Linked DNA regions of Nothobranchius furzeri. The protein of the gene in region 1 interacts with the protein of each later gene in a pairwise test. Links are inferred from orthologs where the notes say so. Each region holds a gene or a part of one and is shown on either strand. Other genes may lie near its edges.

Region 1 (9,911 bases):
GACCCCGTTTTGGCCATTTCTAGGGTCTATATTTGGTTTAACAGTTTGGTCATTTTTCGCACGATCGTCTCAAAAATAGTGTGCGATCGAACAGAAGCGATGGACGATTAAAATGAGACAATAAAATTGACTTTTCGTAAATACTGAAGGGGCGGGACCAGGCCTCAAAGTTCGAGCACTCGCCAAAAAAATTCAAATTGCTATAGATTCATAAATGAAAGAATTACAGTTAAAGAAATGTTCTAAGGACAATCGTCGTCGACCTCCGAAGACAAATGAATGGTCGATTGATGATGTCACATAAGCCCCGCCCCCTCAGGACTTAAAAGGTCAAGATTTACTGGGAAATTTTCCAAAATTCGCCCTTTCCAATAACCACCCCAAATTTGTAGCGGGTAACTGAAGACAAGTTGGGGTTGCTTGGCGTCACTTTATGGGAGTTTTCTCCAGAAGGCGGGGCTGTGGCGGCGCGGCGAAGTCAGGCGTACCGCTTAGGCCTTACGTTTGCCTCCCATTTCGTCATTTCTAGAGATATCGCCACAAAACCTCTTGGGAGTGATCCTAGTTCAGCCCCCCACAAAATGTGATGTGAACATCCGGTGGGCGTGGCCTATTTTCTGAAATAGCGCCCCCTAGGACCATTAAAACTGTCAGCCCCAAGTCATGCTTTGACTGAGGATTATGAAATTTGGCACACTAATGTGGTGTCTCAGGACCTACAAAAAAGTCTCTTGGAGCCAAGTGCAAAGTCGCACAGGAAGTCGGCCATTTTGGTCCAAGTACTCGATTTAGTGGTTTTCGCACACGTTGTTTGGAGAGTGATGCTCCATCGCCCTTTTCACCAATCGCCTTCAAACTTCTGCTATAGACTCTTAAGACATAAAGGAAAAAATTCAACCGTCGGATTTTAAATAAGTATAAAGGTGTGGGCGTGGCTAAGCCTCAAACTTTGACCTGTCACCACGCCACTCTTTTTTTCACAGCTACCTATTGGACTCCTTTTACCCAATCGCCAGCAATCTCTGGCGAATAGCAGCTGACAAGTTGAGGTCACTTAGTCTCCAGTACTGGCAGGTTTTGAAAAAAGGCGGGGCTTTGGGAGCATGGCAAAATTCACCATCACGCCATGGCAATACGTTTGCCTCTCATTTCTTCAATTATCGTGCCATCACCACAAAATGTCTGGTGAGTGATCCTAGTCTGACCCCCAATAGATTTGGACAGCTGTAGTTTGTGGGCGTGGCCTATTTTCTGAAATGGCGCCCTCTAGGACCATTAAAACTGTCAGCCCCTAGCCATGCTTTGACTGAGGAGTACGAAATCTGGTACACTAATGTGGTGTCTCCGGTCCTACAAAAAAGTCTCTTGGAGCCAAGTGCAAAGTCGCACAGGAAGTCGGCCATTTTGGTCCAAGTAGTCGATTTAGTGGTTTTCGCACACGTTGTTTGGAGAGTGTTACACCATTGCCCTTTTCACCAATCACCTTCAAACTTCTGCTATAGACTCTTAAGACAAAGGGGAAAAAATTCAACCTACGGATTTTAAATAAGTATAAAGGTGTGGGCGTGGCTAAGCCTCAAACTTTGACCTGTCGCCACGCCACTCTTTTTTTCACAGCTCCCTATTGGACTCCTTTTAACCAATCACCAGCAATCACTGGCAAATAGCAGCAGACAAGTTGAGGTCACTTGGTCTATAGTACTGGCAGCTTTCGAATAAAGGCGGGGCTTTGGGAGCATGGCGAAATTCGCCATCACGCCATGGAAATACGTTTGTCTCTCATTTCTTCAATCATTGTGACATCGCCACACAATTTCTGATGAGTGATCCTACTCTGACCCCTAATAGAATTGGACAGCTGAAGTTTGTGGGCGTGGCCTATTTTCTGAAATAGCGCCCCCTAGGACCATTAAAACTGTCAGCCCCAAGCCGTGCTTTGACTGAGGATCACGAAATTTGGCACACTAATGTAGTGTCTCAGGACCTACAAAAAAGTCTCTTGGAGCCAAGCGCAATGTCGCACAGGAGGTCGGCCATTTTGGTCCAAGTACTCGATTTAGTGGTTTTCGCACACGTTATTAGGAGAATGATGTCTCGTCGCCCTTTCCACCGATCACCTTCAAACTCTTGCTATATACTCTTAAGACATAGAGGAAAAGATTCAACCGTCGGATTTTAAATAAGTATAAAGGTGTGGGCGTGGCTAAGCCTCAAACTTTGACCAGTCGCCATTACGTTACTTGACTCAATAACTCCCTTGTGCATGATCAGATCAATTTCAAACTTTGTCCATGTGATCACTGACCACATCTGAAGACAGTGACAATGTGGACAGCTGGCATCACCTAAGCCCCGCCCCCTGACTACAGGAAGTCTTCTGTTTTATGGTGAAATGCCCATATTTGTCCCCTCTAATTTAGTCAACATGACACTAAGGTCATGCACTGTCTTCATGATGTTCTAATGACTATTCAGATCTGATAGCTTTTCAGAAAGGGAGGAGCTTTGATGCCATGGCGATTTCTGGCGTGACGCTGTGACCTTACGTTTGACTGTAACTTCCACAAACAGCCTCCGATTTGCCAGAGACTGAACATCACATCACCAGTGTGGTAAAGATAGAGTATCTCCTAGTGGTGAGACGTGTAATGCTGGGCTCAGAGGGGATGCTGAATCAGGGTGAGGTGTGGACGAGGAGGCCGTTCACGGTTTCTGGTGTCGGGGTGGTTGACTTTCTGTTCTGCCAGACGTGCCCTGGTGCCCCCGGCTGCCGTCCAGGATGGACAAGCGCGGAGCTGGGTTTGGAGAGCGTCGGGGATGGAGCGGAGGGGGTGCGGAAGGAGGGCGAGCAGCTTCGCTGCGAGGGCCGAACGACGCTGCTTGCAGCTTTAATTTTGATTGGTTCTGACAAAGCTTCTGAGTTGAAGATATTTGAAGAAATAATTTCTATTTATATTATACTTAAATATATTAGAGTATCGGAATTTGGATTATAAAGGTCGTATATCGTCTTCAACCCCTTTAAAGCTCACTGTTGAAAAATGGTATCTGCTCTTCCTGGAGCAAAGTGCTGATTACCCCAAATTGGAGTGTACAGAGACAAATTATTAGGCTCTTTTAAATATTTCCGAATTTTCGACCAAATATTAATCATATTTTTAACGACTGGGTTTTTGCTTTTCTTTATTAGGTCAGAAATTTGATCAGAGTACAGAGATGGTGGCAATGGCAAACTTAAACCTTCTGACTCCATTTCCCTCCACTGTGGGGAATCTCCTGTTTCAAAATGAAATGTAATTGACCTTAAATGAGTTGCCCAGTAATACCAGATTATATTAGGACATTTTGAACCACCTTTACTATGTGGTATGTGTAATAAAGACAATCGAATCTTAGCTTTAGCATTTTTCCATATAAATTCAATAAGCAGCTTTTGAACTTTCCCCAAAATCTCAGCTGGTGGAGGTACAGGCACATTTTGAAAAACATATAGTATTTTGGGGAGTATATTCATTTTAATAACACTAATTCTGCCAATCAAAGACAGAGATAAAGGCATCCATCGGTCTATCAATCCTGTTATGTCATTCATTAGGAGTTCATAATTAGATCTGACAATCAAATTCAACTTACGCCTAATTTCTATCCCTAAATGTGAGAAATGGTCCACTATTTTAAAGAGCAAGTCACCCCCAAATCAACTTTTTTTTGCTGATAAACTAAATAAACGAGTGTCTAGTCGTGCTGCAGACACGTGTAGTCAATAATTAGGTAATTCAGTGCATCTTAGTTAAAATTTAAATATTCTGCCTAAAACTGTCAGTGTTGTGCCTTTGTCAGGTAAAAACTCTGCACTGCCTTTGAATTTAAATCTGCCACCGCTATTGGCTAAGAGGTATGCTATGATGTAAACTGGTCCTTATGATGTCACAATTCTGTCGTGAGCCTGAGTGTGTGTGTGTATTTGTCAGCGGCTCCGCCCTCTCAGTCTGCCAGGCAACAGAATTTGTTGCATTTTTCAAACATGAAGTGGGAGTGGAGTTAGACTCTGGTAGGGGGTGACTTGCTCTTTAAAGGCCCGCACTTGTGGAGTTGGTCTTTCAGCTTCTTTCTCACTAAGCAGTAGGAGAGAGGATTTTGTGTTGTTTATAGTCTCAGCTGGTTTTTAATATAACTTCAGCCTCCTGTCTCCACTGAGCAAACAGAGCTGGCCTTTATGTCACAGAGCCTGCAGCGATAGCTGGCCCACCGCGCGCCTTGTGCAACAGATGGCTGTTCATGATTAAACAGCTGGCTGAAGGGCCTTTCAGCTGGGGTGGGGATTCTACTCAGGCTCCTGCATGGGCAGCTAAGCAGGACCCAGTCCTCCCCTCCCCAGATGGGATCATTCCAGCTACACTCTGGCTGTCACAGCACATTTGCCTCTGTGCAACAGGCGGCAGGAGCTGGACACACACTACAAACATGGTGAGTGCACGAGCCTGGTGTAAAAAATCAGGCTGCACACTTTTTCACTTCTTTGTACAACAATTATTTTAAGAGACAAGAAAAAACGTTTGATTATTCTCTGACGGTCACGAGGACGCTTCGCTGCACCTAAACCAACATCCCCGCCGCTGATAAACCAGGTTACTGCGTTGCTAAGATACCTGATGCTGTCACCGCTCTTGTTCCTGTCTGCGGCGGGAAAACCTGCTCGTGTTGTTCACTTGGAAGGGGAGAGTTTAAAATGTGAAACTCCTCTGAGCTGAGAGTCAGCAGAGTGAGTGAATAACTCAAAGTCCACATGACAGAGATTAGGAAGCATTTGATCCCCCCCCCCCCCACACACACACACACACAGGCGCGCGCACACACACACACACGCACCACTAAATACCTCTCAACCAGCTAGCTTTTAAACAACAGAATGCAGCTGCTCATTGTTTCCAGATGGGAGTCTGTGCAGCCAATCACAGTTTGTGGCTGTGAAGCTGCCCCTCTGAAATCTGTTGTCCTCTCAGGCCGGAAAGATCCAGAGTCTGACTGAGGAGGAGAGAGCCCATCTACTCCCGATGCTCCGCAACGCCCAGTGGGTGGAGGTGGTGGGGCGAGATGCCATCTACAAAGAGTTTATCTTCAAAGACTTCAATCAGGTTTTTACTCTTAACTCCTTCCTTACTAAACTCAGTGTGTGTGTGTGTGTGTGTGTGTTTACAGATTTCTTTTGCCACACCTAAATGTTTCAGATCAGCACACATTTCAAAATCAAAGTCAAGCAGTTATTAAGTTCACTTGTGAACTACTTGTTCACATAGAGCTATGTTGATTTGGATCACTGTGTCCATCCATCCATCCATCCATCCATTTTCATCTGCCTATCTGAGGTTGGGTAGCGGGGGCAGCAGTGGCCAGCTTCTCCAGGGAATCCCAAGGCGTTCCCTGGCCAGGTGAGAGACATAGACCCTCCAGCATGTCCTGGGTCTCCCTTTAGGCCTCCTCCCGGTTGGACGTGCCCGGAGAACCTCACCACGGAGGTATCACCAGGAGGCATCCTGACCAGATGCCCGAGCCACCTCAACTGGCTCCTCTTGATGTGGAGGAGCAGCGGGTCTACTCCAAGCCCCTCCTGGATGACCGAGCTTCTCACCCTATCTCTAAGGGAGAGCCCAGACACCCTGCGGAGAAAACTCATTTTGGCCGCTTGTATCCGCGATCTCGTTCTTTTGGTCACTACCCAAAGCTCGTGACCATAGGTGAGGGCAGATCTACCGGTAAATCGAGAACATCTTTCTCTTCTTATGCTTATGTAACCCAGAAGCTAGAACCTTAATGAGGTATTAACTAATTGGCTTACTAATATGATCCATCCTCAATTTAGATAAAATATAAAATATAAATTAAGGAAATTAACAATACTAATTAATAGATATCTAATTAACTAATAGATAATTTCATAATGAATTATTGGAAGGGTGAATAACTAAAATAACGAGTTTAATATTAAACATCGGTTAAAACAAGAATCTTGAACATCCCTAACAGAAACAGAAGAGGAAAGCTGTATACTATTGGTCCAGGTGGGAATCTGAAATTTCATTGGCTGAGAGAAATAAGTCCCGCCTCCGCGAAATAAAACCGTGCGACGCAGCTGAGCGAGAGGAGAGACAAACGGCTGTGCAGCACGCAGATACAGAAAGCAAAGACTGAGCGGTTAGAGAGAGAGAGAGAGAGAAAAAAAAACAACGGTCGAGGCCGTGAAGAACCCTGATTTGGGTGCCGCATAGATAGAGGGAGAGGCGGACTTGACTCCTTCTAATAAGAGCTAGGAACTTGGAACCAACGCGGTGAGTAAAGAAAAAAAGAAGAGAAAAAGCTAACGATGCAACTTAAAAAAAAAAAAGGAAACTTAAATAGCTTATCAAATTAATTCCATTCTTATAGATTTGTGTGGAGACGACAGAGTGAACCAATCCTCTGTAGGAGGGAACCGTTGGAGCGCGTTGGTGAGTGAATGAGATTAAATTCAGTAAATTATTAAATTCAAAAAGCTAATTACAGCAACCGAGGTGACAGCAGTGGGCTGCTAGACGTTAGATCCCAGGAGTTAACATCTCAAACTACCAGTTAACGGTGGTAGGGCATATAGGAGTTAACGGCTCAAACCGCCAGTTAACGGCGGTAGGGCCTAGATGTACAAGGTCCTCAGGGGCGTTATAGCTAACGCCATAGAATTAGCAATGCGTCCCTTAACCAAACATTTAATAATAAAAAAAATAGATAAATAAAAATAAATAAAAGCTAACTGATTAGGGAGGAATTATTTTACAAAGGTGGACCAAAGGACCAGAATTTATATTTTGTTGAATTTTGTTATAGAACATTTTATTTATTTATTTATTTATTTATTTATTTATTTATTTATTGTGTTACAGATATACAAGGTGTCACAATGCTGTATAGAAACACAACTAAATGTATCCTTGTTGTCATGAATGTATTTCTTGTTGAATAGTGTAGAGTAATAGAATCTAACTGAGCCTATTGAGCTGAACAATTGTTGTCATATGTAATTATATTTCCAGAGCTACTGAGAATTATTTTAATAGACAATCAAATTGATGTTATGTTAGTTGAACTGTGAACCCAAACATGATTGGCTATGCCAATAGAGTGAAGCATTTGTTTAAGTCTGTAAGACTTTATGCTGTGATGTGACGAGAAGGGTCGATGCCAACTCGCTAACAGTCCTGTTGTTTACAGGCTGGGTTTTTTTTTTCCTTGGGTTTGATCCCGACTCCTATGATCACTCACTTGGAACGAGAACTGGATTTCTTCCTGACGAGGGAGATGGCGAGCCTTAACCACTGAACGAACCAGGACATCTCAAGTAACTGAAGAGCAGACTGCTCTCTTCTGTGAACAATCTCAACGGTGTGGTAGGAAAAAATCGCACCACCGGACTCTGACTTTCACCCCAAGCGTGGGGATTTGACTTGACGCCGGCTGACTTGTGACTCATATGATCAAATCTCATACCGACCATTTTACTATTGTCGATTGTTTTCATCTGTTTTTGTGTGTTATCTTTATGTGTTATATTTCCCATTATTATTAAAATTTAGTATATAAACCGTTTCATGCTATACCCGTGACTCCAGCCATTCTTAAACAACCTCCAATTCTCCCCGAACCTAATTATTGGCCCATTTGTTTATTTTTTCTTTTAATTATCTTATTGTATCCTGTAATCCGGTTACATAAAACTTGGCGAGCCAGCCAGGAGAATTGTAGAGTTGTTACCTTAGCTAACCTTTGACTGACATCATAAGAGTGCCTGGAGGTCACAGTGGTTTGCCATTTTGGCATTATTGGTACTTTTGAGTGTTTTAAAATGGAAGTTGTGAAAACAGAAAAGGTCAAAGTTTCAAATGCTGTTTTAATCAGTGGGTTAACTGATACAGACCTTGATAACGAAGTCTTTGGGTTTATGGAAGGATTCGGACCAGTTAACAGGCGCATTAAGTTACCAAACTGTGATCAGATTATTGTGGAGTTTCAACATGAAGCCACTGTTAAGGAATTAAAGAAACAATGTTTACCCTATGACAAACCTTGTACTAGGAACCCAAATGTTTTCTTCCATATTCAAGACCTAGCCAGCGCGTACAGTCTAGAAACTAGCACATCTGCCACTGATGCCTATCTGTCAGAGCTCAGGGACATAGCTGCGCGTAGCAATCAATCATTTAAAGACCTTCTAATGGAGGAACTGGCAAAAATTGGGGAATCTTTAGGAAGGGATACCCATGCATCTGAACCAGTCACTGAACTAGAGCCAATGCTCCATAGTGACCAAGTTACATATTCCCTGCCTTTAACACCAGAAGTTAACTATATGAACAACTCAAAGGACAATTGTCCACCTACAGAGACTGGAAAACAAAACCCTTGCATTCCACCAAATCTTTTAAACACACCTGAGGTTCAGCGAGTTATTGTGGAACACATTGTTAAAAGCAGTGAGGTTATCCCTCCGCCTACTTCACAATACAGACTAAAACCGTTCTCAGGGCGAGTTCCACACCCTTCTTTTGAAACTGACTATGATACTTGGCGTAGTAGTGTAGTGTTATGCATAAATGATCCTTCACTCACCAAGTCCCAAATTGTACGAAGAATCGTGGAGAGTCTGTCAGCCCCAGCAGCGAGCATCGTTAAAGCTCTTAGTCCAAAATCCGACCCGGAAACGTACCTTGAACATCTCGATTCAGCTTACGCAGCTGTCGAAGACGGCGACGAGCTCTTTGCTCGCTTCTTAAACACAAACCAGGACAGTGGTGAAAAACCTTCCGATTACTTTCAGAGGTTATACACCTTGTTAAACCTAGTTATTCAGAGGAATGGAATTTCCTCCAGTGACGCCGACCAGCAGCTGCTCAAGCAGTTTTGCAGAGGCTGTTGGGACAGCTCGCTGATTTCAAACCTGCAACTCGAACAAAAGAAAGACAACCCGCCTCATTTTACAGCACTTCTCCTCAAACTGCGCACTGAAGAAGACAAACAGGCTACTAAAGCAGCACGCATGAAACAACACTTAGGGGCACAACGAACTAGAGTGTATTCAAATGTGCAAACAACATGCTCTCAGAGTAAAAACACTTGTGAACTGGAAATAGATGATAACTGTGATGACTTACGCAAACAAATCGCTGAGCTCAGGAGCCAAATTGCACAGCTTAAGGTTAACAACACAGATAAAAAGGCAAAGAAAACTCAAAAAGAGTCAAAACCCCGTGTGGGGACTAAAATTCCAGATGAGCCCAAACAGATTCAGCAGATAACAGCAGTGGTGCCCAGACCAAAGCCTGGATACTGTTTTAAGTGCGGAGAAGATGGGCACATAGCTTCTAGCTGTAGCAACGAGCCAAATCCAGCACTAGTTGCAACTAAAAGACTTGCTCTTAGACAGAAGCAGCGCGAGTGGGAGATGTCAAAGCCAATTGCTCAGTCTCCTCCTTTAAACCGGTAGAAGCTCCTATCGTGGGACAGATAGGTGCTAAAGTAGAACCAAGTCCCTCTAAGGAAAGGACAGAGAGACTTTTTTGCAAGCCAGTTCATGCTCATTCAGTGCCAAAACTTCCCAAAAGATTAGTGGGTGGGCGATGCACAGCTACAGTCTCAGTTAACAGTGTTGAATGTAATTGTTTACTGGATTCAGGGTCCCAGGTAACCACCATTGCCAATTCTTTTTACCAAGAACACTTACCTGACCTCTCAATTAAACCCATCAGTAATCTGTTAGAAGTCGAGGGCGCAAACGGTCAAGCAGTTCCTTATTTAGGATACATAGAGATAAGTGTCACATTTCCAAAAGAGCTCGATCAGTCTGGACTTGAGTTACCTACCCTTGCGTTAGTGGTTCCGGATAT
Region 2 (9,236 bases), on another chromosome or scaffold:
GCCACCAATAGTGTTGAAATCAGTGAGTAAGTTTAGGCTCTGTTGGTTTGGATAGCTTTTTCCTTTAATAAATGAAATCGTATGAAAATTGCATTTTGTAATTACTCAGGGTACCTTTGTCTCATACTGAACTACGATTGCTGATCTGAGACTTTAAAGGGTTTTTTAATAAAAATGCTAAGTAAATCTCTAAGGTGGCGATAGCTTTTCAAAGTTTTGTGTTTATGTCCATTTCTGCCAGAGATTTGGAAATTATCAAATATGTAGTAAATGTATTAAGTTCCTTCACCTCTGCTGAACAGGGAAGACCCCTGGCATGTTGCAAAAATGGTGAAAAGCTACATGCAGCAGCACAACCTACCTCAGAGAGAGGTGGTAGAGTCCACGGGACTCAACCAGTCCCACCTCTCCCAGCACCTCAATAAAGGCACACCCATGAAGAACCAAAAGAGAGCCGCCCTGTACAGCTGGTACGTCAAGAAGCAGTGTGAGATCAGCCAGCGTGAGTACATAAGCTTTTGTTGAGCATGCTCTTCTTGCTGTGGAGACACACTGGTCACGGTAACGTCTTTCATTCCTCTCCAGAGTTCACCAATGCTAAGCACGGTCTAGCACCTGCAGAAGAACAAGGGGAGGAGACTAAGAAAGGACGCAGGAACAGGTTCAAGTGGGGTCCAGCGTCCCTGCAGATCCTCTTTAACGCCTATGAACGACAGAAGAACCCCAGCAAGGAAGAAAGGGAAGGACTGGTGGAGGAGTGTAACAAGTAAAGATCAGACCTCAGTGGGGTTAAATTGGCCAGATAATACCTGAATTATAAATGCTACGTGCTTCAAATTGATCTAGTCTCACATGTTGAGATGAACTTTAATCTAATCTATATCTTTCCTGAAAACATGTTATATGTGAAATGAACATATTTTATAAATAACTGTTGTTAAATTCAACATTTTTCACAAAATTAAGCCATTTATCAGTTTATGTTGTATCCAAATCAGGGCCGAGTGTCTCCAGAGAGGGGTATCTCCCTCCCAGCTAGCAGGTCTGGGCTCCAACCTGGTTACTGAGGTCCGAGTGTACAACTGGTTCGCCAACCGCCGTAAAGAGGAGGCCTTTCGCCACAAGCTGGCCCTGGACACATCCTTCACCACCCAGTCGGCTCCCTCCTCCAATCACGCACTTCCTCCAAGTCCTGAACATGGTAAAACCTCAGCAACCCTCGCATCTATGAGGCGATGATTGTAAAGGAAAAGGTTAAATGTAAACATTTATAAAGTAGAAATCTAAATCTATAGTAAAAACGAAGAAGGCGACCAAATTAAAAGCAGGGGTCATTTGGAAACCTTTTCTCAGAATTTAAAGCTTGTGTGTCATGCTGAAACAGCTTTTCTGTGGAGAGAGTACTTGACTATACTGGTTCTGATGTGTGTGTTAACCATCATTGTTGTATTTGCTCTGAAACCTGACCTGTCATTATTATCCAGGTGTGAAATACAGTCAGCACATATTATGTGAGCCAGCTAGCTCAGTGAGAAGCAGCGCAGGGGAGCGAGTGGGGCATCTTGTGGTCAGTCCCGTCCAACTGGAACCCAGCCACACACTCCTTGAGAACCATAACCCTAAGCTGGTGAGATGATGTGCTCCTGTATTCTTCGTCAGCCATCAAAGATGCCATCATGACCATGCTTTTTCTTTGATTACAGGTGTCCAGCAGTGGCCCACTGCCCCCAGTAAGCACTCTGACCTCTCTGCACAGTCTGTCTGCCCCCCCTGCCTCCTCACAAAGCCTCATCATGGCCTCAGTGCCCAGCGTCATGAGTCTCGGGGAGTCTTCTCTTCTCATCGGTAACACAGATGCTTCATTTTTCAGGTTATGTCTAGTGTTTGGTTTTTACTGTGACGTCTGATGTTTCACATACAGGTTTAGCTTCCACGCAGCCTCAGACCGTTCCTGTCATAAACAACATGGGAGGTGGTTTCACCACCCTCCAGCCGATCTCATTCCAGCAGCAGCTCCACACATCCCACCAGCAGCAGATACCTCAGCAGCTCCAGAGCCCCTTCATGGCGACCATGGCACAGCTGCCATGTCACAGTAAGACCTCAACAACATCACAGCAGTTTAACACAAGAGCTGAATACTGAGGCGCCTGTTCTTCCTCATAGTGTATAACAAGCTGGACTCACCCCAGTACCACTCATCCAGTTTGCTGTCTCAGGCCATGCTCATCGCTGACAGCAGCAGTCTGGGGACACTCACCAGTCTGGCTGCAGTCAGACAGGTACTGGTTCTGATGGGTTTGTTGCTCTCTCAGAGTCTCAGGAATCTAATCTTCACATCTTCTTCCTCAATTTGGTTTTGTTCAGATCCTAACAGCAGATCCAGATGAAGACACAGACTCACCTATACAGGAGGATTCTTTACACTTGCAGCCACACACACCTGTGCCAGGTAAAACACACTTAATACAGGCCTGCTGAATGTGTTGCAGACATTACCAACAGATCCCCAACATAAATCAAGGACTGAGCCTTTTTAAAAGGCACTTTGATTACCTGAGTTGTTACTCACTCATTAATTGTTTTTATAGTTATTACAAGCAATTAAACATCATTTTAGATTAAATGTTAAAAGTTTCTTTATGATGGGATTAATTTTAATGTTTGACATTTTCTTCAGTAACATTACAGGTGCTGCCCAGTAAATTAGAATATCATCAAAAGGTTGAAAATATTTCAGTAATTCCATTCAAAACGTGAAACTTGTACATTATATTCATGCAATGCACACAGACCAATGTATTTCCGATGTTTATTACGTTTAATTTTGATATTTATAGGTGACAACCAATGAAAACATCAAATCTGGTATCTCAGAAAATTAGAATATTCTAAAGGCCAATGAAAAAATGTTTGTTTCTCTAATGTTGGCCAACTGAAAAGAATGAACATGAAAAGAATGTGCATGTATAGCACTCAATACTTAGTCGGGGCTCCTTTTGCCTCAATAACTGCAGTAATGCGGCGTGGCATGGACTCGATCAGTCTGTGGCACTGCTCAGGTGTTATGAGAGCCCAGGTTGCTCTGATAGTCGTCTTCAGCTCCTCTGCATTGTTGGGTCTAGCGTATTGCATCCTCCGCTTCACAATACCCCATAGATTTTCTATGGGGTTAAGGTCAGGCGAGTTTGCTGGCCAATCAAGGACAGGGATACCATGGTCCTTGAACCAGGTGCTGGTGGTTTTGGCACTGTGTGCAGGTGCCAAGTCCTGTTGAAAGGTGAAGTCTGCATCCCCATAAAGTTGGTCAGCAGCAGGAAGCATGAAGTGCTCTAAAACTTCCTGGTAGACGGCTGCATTGACCCTGGACCTCAGGAAACAGAGTGGGCCAACACCGGCAGATGACATGGCACCCCACACCATCACTGACGGTGGAAACTTTACACTGGACCTCATGCAACGTGGATTCTGTGCTTCTCCGCTCTTCCTCCAGACTCTGGGTCCTTGATTTCCAAAGGAAATGCAGAACTTGCTTTCATCAGAAAACATAACTTTGGACCACTCAGCATCAGTCCAGTCCTTTTTGTCCTTGGCCCAGGCGAGACGCTTCTTGCGCTGTTTCTTGTTCAAGAGTGGCTTGACACACGGAATGCGACACCTGAATCCCATGTCTTTCATGAGTCTCCTCGTGGTGGTTCTTGAAGCGCTGACTCCAGCTGCAGTCCACTCTTTGTGGATCTCCCCCACATTTTTGAATGGGTTTGTCGTCACAATTCTCTGCAGGGTGCGGTTATCCCTAGAGCTTGTACACTTTTTTCTACCACATTTTTTCCGTCCCTTCGCCTGTCTGTTAATGTGCTTGGACACAGAGCTCTGCGAACAGCCAGCTTCTTTAGCAATCACCTTTTGTGTCTTGCCCTCCTTGTGCAAGGTGTCAATGATTGTCTTTTGGACAGCTGTTAAGTCAGAAGTCTTCCCCATGATTGTGGTGCCTTCAAAACAAGACTGAGGGACCTTTTAAAGGCCTTTGCAGGTGTTTTGAGTAAATCAGCTGATTAGAGTGGCAGCAGGTGTCTTCTATATTCAGCCTTTTCAGAATATTCTAATTTTTTGAGATACCAAATTTGGAGTTTTCATTAGTTGTCACTTATGAATATCAAATTTAAATGTAATGAACATTGGAAATACATTGGTCTGTGTGCATTGCATGAATATAATGTACAAGTTTCACGTTTTGAATGGAATTACTGAAATATTTTCAACCTTTTGATGATATTCTAATTTACTGGCCAGCACCTGTATATTAGACATTAAGCTACCCCGTTGTTAAAGAGATACCTATTGTTTGGGTTTATTGTTGACAAGCGTTAGAGGACATGTTTAATAAATGAAAGGGTCGTTTTAACAGCTTACAAACCAAAGTGATACAAATCGGGCGTTATGGAAGAAATAAGTTATCTTTTTTACACAAACAGAAAAAAGGTTTACAGAGTCCCAGGCCTTGTTTCTTTGTGCTTTTCTTGTCATCTGTTTAAAAGGCCTTGGTCGAAATTCCTGCAGGTTTTTCAAAGGTTGTCTTTAGATTTATGCTGATTTTTTGTACCCGGAGAAAGTCTTTGTTACTAAGCCATACAAGTCTGGCCTATAAATGAAAAGAGTTTCTAAACTCAAGGTTTAAACCATTGTTGTTTTGACACATAAGAAACAACTTTCACCACGGGGTCTACAACTTTGTCTTGTTTTTAATTGTTGTTTTTAATCTGTTTAATTTTTTTTATCTTTTGTTGTATTTTTTAATGTGCTTGCTTTTTATTGTTGTGTTCAGCACCTGTATGTAGAGCTGAAGTAAAAAATGTCATCCTGTGGTTAAATTTGATTACTGCAACCACTTTACATAATTGTGGAGCTTTTCGCCGGCTGTCGTCAAAGTACAATTGTCGGCTGCAGTAGTTTATACTTCTCTGAGCTCCACAACGGAGACACCCACATGGAGTATTGGAAAGAATTCCACATGTGCAGGCAGCGGAGTGTTGCAAAACAATTCCCCACTAGGATAACAAGAGGGCGTTGCCCTTTTCTGTGGTCCTGCCACCAGAACACTCGTGTATCTGGTCCACGATTGTGTATTTACTAATGTGTTTATGTATTTCAGAGACTTTATAACACAGACAAATTTGTCTTTCGTTCTCCGCCACCTCTAAACCCACGTTTCCCATCATTTCCATCCATGTTTTTTGTACTCCTTCAGTCACGGGTGAATAAACGTTCATGTTTTTGGACTTTTTCAGCGATGCGTTCTTCAATCTGTTCTGGGTCTGCCGCCAGATAGCTTTTTACTTTTTAATGAGGCAAAGGCGGTGCTGGTAATGAATTTACAGGAAGCGGCGTCCTGACTAGTCACAAGCTTGCGGTCTCCGTCACTTTCGACGGATGTTTAAAATTTTGGGCATGTCTCCATTACCCTCTGTGAGCTCGTCGAAGAGCCCTTGCGCCAATGGCGTGTAATGGCGTTGCGTGTCTCGGCACCGACGCACACGGAGAAGTATAAATCAGGCTTTAGCTCGCAGAGACATGACAACCTCACGCTCACTGATGGTAAACAGTAGCTACGTCCCTCCTTCCTTTGCTTTGAAAGGAGAAAAGCGGACAATCACCACAGCCAGCTGGATATGAAATGTTTCAGCATAACCTTCCTCCCAAAATGACTGAAACATTACTCTTTTGGGATTTTCTCACTTTAAAATTCTTATTATATTCATACATATTGCACCTTTAAAGAAATGTTACCAATATTTATTTACTAAAGATAATTCCATATAGTTTCAACTTTTAATCCTAAATCTTCAAATTACTCTTAACTGCTGTGTATAAAACTAGTTGAATATTTAATCATTTGGTCTTCTGTCAAAATGGATTTTTAAATGTCTGCCAAGTTAGCTGCAGTGATAATACTTATAACAGCAACATTTTCTGGACAAAAGCTTGAAATGAACATATTTTCTAACTTTTGTTCCCAGCTGCTTCTGAGAGCCTGGAGCTGTATCCTTCCTCCCAGACAGAACGTCATCAGCCTCACCTCCTCTCATCTTCACCCACAGACATCAGCTCCTACATGCCTTCACAAATGGTCTCCACAGCACAGTAAAACCTTCTCTGGCTCTTTCGTGTCTCCTGCCCTTCAGCTGGACTCTAAAGCCTGATGGGGTTTTGGGACGGGCATCTACAGCTGGTGTACCTTTCCAGATAAACCTGGAGACAGAAGGCTATAATCACGATGTCTCAACTTTATTCAAGTGTAGTCACAGAAGAGACTTACTGAAATCAGCAGAGGATTAACAAGATCAACACCAGCATCTATTTTTATTAAAATAATATTCTGTAAAATTAAAAACTTGTAACTTCTGGTATAAATGCAATTTATATTCTTTTTAAATTTGCAACCAAAATGCTTTTTTTAAGTTTTCATGAGAATTAAGTTTTTGAAACGAGCAAAATGAGTCCCTTCTTTATTCTGAAGCCATTTTAATCCCAAAACTCACTTCAACACACAAACAAAAACCCACAAAAATGTTTACTGTCAAATCTCAGCTCAAAGTTTCTTTGTTTGTGTTTATTTTTTGTTTTGTTTTATTTTCATGTGTTCCTGCTCCAGGTTCCTGTGCTCACTGCTGCTTTCATCATGAGCATCTTCACCAGAGTCCACTTGCTCACTCTCTCCATCATTTTGTTTCCTCTTTTTCTTTTTCCTGACAACATGACTCGCTTCTTCCTTTGCAACTTTCTTCTTTCTCTGTGTTTTTTCTGAGTTGTGAGGCTCTGATGATGAAGAGGATGCAGTGGAGGTAAATGTTGATGAAGGCAACAGATCTTTCACTGACACCACTGCCTCCTTCAGCCTTGTTTCCATTTCACTGTCGCTGTCACTGTAAGAGGCAGAGAAATGTTACACAGAAGTCAAACTGATAATTAAATCTTTCAAAAATAAATAGATAAAAAAGTGAAAAACCTTGAGCTGGGAACAGGCCGACGCCTCACTGGTTCGGGAGGATTATCAGCTTTCTGTCCAGGGATGGATGTAGAAAACAGATGAAAACCTAAATGAAAATAAATAAATAAATAAATAAATAAGTTTAAAAAAATATTTTTAAAGGGTAAAAACAAAATCTGCTTAAAATGCTGAAACGTTACCATCACCAATGTCATCACTGTTTGTAGTTTCCAAACAATTTAAGGTTTTAGGCTTCATTTCTGAAATGCAACTGTAAATCACACAACACTGATTAAAATCAAATTTCCCAATATCAGTACCATATTTTCCTATCAAGTTACCTGTCAAGAAAATGTTCCAGCTTTTTAGCCACATGTGTTTGAAATCCTTTGGTGACCTGGAGCTCGTTGCCATCATGTTCATGAGCAGCGACAACAATACTGTTACAGGACAAAAAAAAAAAAAAAAAAAAAAAAAAAAAAAAAACAGTAAAGAGACCATATCATGGAAAATCCACATTTTGGAGCTTTTTACTTTGTGACAGTTAATTCCTCATGAAAAATACCCCCAACCCCTTTTTTTTGGCAGCGTTTATGCATTTTCCTGTCTCAGCTGCAAGTTTTAAGATTTTAAGGAAAAGCCTTAAGATACTGTTGTCCGTGATGCACTTTGTGACTTGTCAGTGAAAGTGCTATAAAAATAAACTTACTAAGATGCTGTTGTAGTTGAAGTGGACACAGGCAGAGCTTCAGAGTGGTTCATTTCCAGGAGCAAACTCTGGCTGATGAAAATAACTCGCATCTAAGATGAAATTGCATCTCAATAGCGCTATTGTGCCTACCTTTGCTCTCACGTGTTTAAAATAGCATGATCTGGGTCCTTTAAGCTTTATGTTATTGTTCAAAAGTACACCTGCATATTTGTGCCACAAGGAGAAAAAAAATAGGAAGTGATGACAGATGAGTCAAAAGATATGCATGCACACGTGTATGAATGAACACAGTGAGTGTGTTTTGATCATCGACATAATATGGTTTTGATCTATTCTGTATTAATACTGATTAAGGTTTGTTTTGACCGAAGATTCTAGCTTTGGTGTGTTTTTCACTCTGTAGACGCTAAAATACGGAGCAGTCATTTAGCAGCAGCAGATCTTCATTTAATCAGCAGGGCCGAGCTCAAATCGTGGCGGTGGCAGCCTCGCAACATCTGAAGCTTACAAAATATTTATTTTTCTTCAGTAAAATACAGCGCAGATTTAGATGCGTTCTCCGCTATTTTGTAACTCGCTGCCACCTAAATAAAATTAAATACAGGCAACACACTGATTTAGCATGTTAAGCTAACGCGCACTTCTTTGCTGCCCCACCTAGATTTTATCTACATGTTTTTGTTGGTTTTTAAATGGTTTTATGTTTTTATTTTTTATATTAATTTCTGCTGTGCAGCGCTTTGTTTGGTCCTTGGGCCATGTGAAGTCGCTATATAAATAAAGTTTAGTAGTAGTAGTGATTCGCATTATAATACCGACTCACCGCTTTGAGTCTTTCACTTTGCGGTCTCCATCTGGAAAAATAAAATAAAATCGTTGTCAGCCTTTGCTTCAGAAAGATGCCTCATTTACACAAGTCTTAAACAACTACTACAATTCACTACTACAAGTGGTATTCTCGTCTAACTAAAACGTTTATCAGTATTAACTACTTACCCTGAGACAAAAAAAATTATAAAAATAAACACTTACCTTTTGTTTTGTTTGTCTGAGTGTCCCAAACTGCCTCTCGACACTTTCTAAGCTCTTCGTCGTCGCTACTTGACTCCTCAGAAACCATCTCTCTAACGTGGGCCGCCATATTGGCCCACGTGCTGTTGTTTGCGTCCAGCTAAGGATTCTGGGTGATGTAGTCTTTTAGTACCAAATAACACTACTCATTTTAGCCGCTTTTACTCAAACAAAAAACTTTGTAAAACAAAATGTTGCAACAAAACAAACTATTCTCTGCCTGTGTACAGCTGAATTAAGCTTTATCTACATGCAACTTCAAACTTCATTTTCAAGAGAATATAAAATTAAATAAAAAACATTTTGTTTAGCCATTTTTATTCATAAGAATTCTGCTAACACATAATAGCGTCACTTGTAAAGTCCAGCAATATAAAAAGTATACAACATGCAACATGTAACAGTAAAAGTAGATGTTTGAGTCCATCACATGGTCTTTTAGTGCAGATTTTAGAATTGTGTACA

What was found.
Region 2: the proteins of pcbd1 (region 1) and hnf1a interact in binary tests that used the Homo sapiens proteins (3 or more experiments, as listed by UniProt). The link is inferred for Nothobranchius furzeri from reciprocal best matches to the Homo sapiens genes PCBD1 and HNF1A.

The regions. Positions count from the first base shown.
Region 1 is NC_091752.1:6,172,790-6,182,700, forward strand, and holds the start of pcbd1 (pterin-4-alpha-carbinolamine dehydratase), read left to right. Parts: upstream 1-3,983; 5' UTR 3,984-4,278; coding exon 4,279-4,467; intron 4,468-5,003; coding exon 5,004-5,135; intron 5,136-9,911. UniProt on the Homo sapiens protein: Involved in tetrahydrobiopterin biosynthesis. Seems to both prevent the formation of 7-pterins and accelerate the formation of quinonoid-BH2. Coactivator for HNF1A-dependent transcription.
Region 2 is NC_091757.1:33,385,637-33,394,872, reverse strand, and holds the end of hnf1a (hepatocyte nuclear factor 1-alpha), read left to right. Parts: intron 1-302; coding exon 303-502; intron 503-585; coding exon 586-766; intron 767-998; coding exon 999-1,201; intron 1,202-1,484; coding exon 1,485-1,627; intron 1,628-1,703; coding exon 1,704-1,845; intron 1,846-1,921; coding exon 1,922-2,095; intron 2,096-2,166; coding exon 2,167-2,282; intron 2,283-2,367; coding exon 2,368-2,452; intron 2,453-6,017; coding exon 6,018-6,145; 3' UTR 6,146-6,494; downstream 6,495-9,236. Other genes in the region: c17h12orf43 (protein CUSTOS), read right to left, coding at 6,611-6,923, 7,007-7,094, 7,189-7,259, 7,330-7,428, 8,524-8,554, 8,733-8,841. UniProt on the Homo sapiens protein: Transcriptional activator that regulates the tissue specific expression of multiple genes, especially in pancreatic islet cells and in liver. Binds to the inverted palindrome 5'-GTTAATNATTAAC-3'.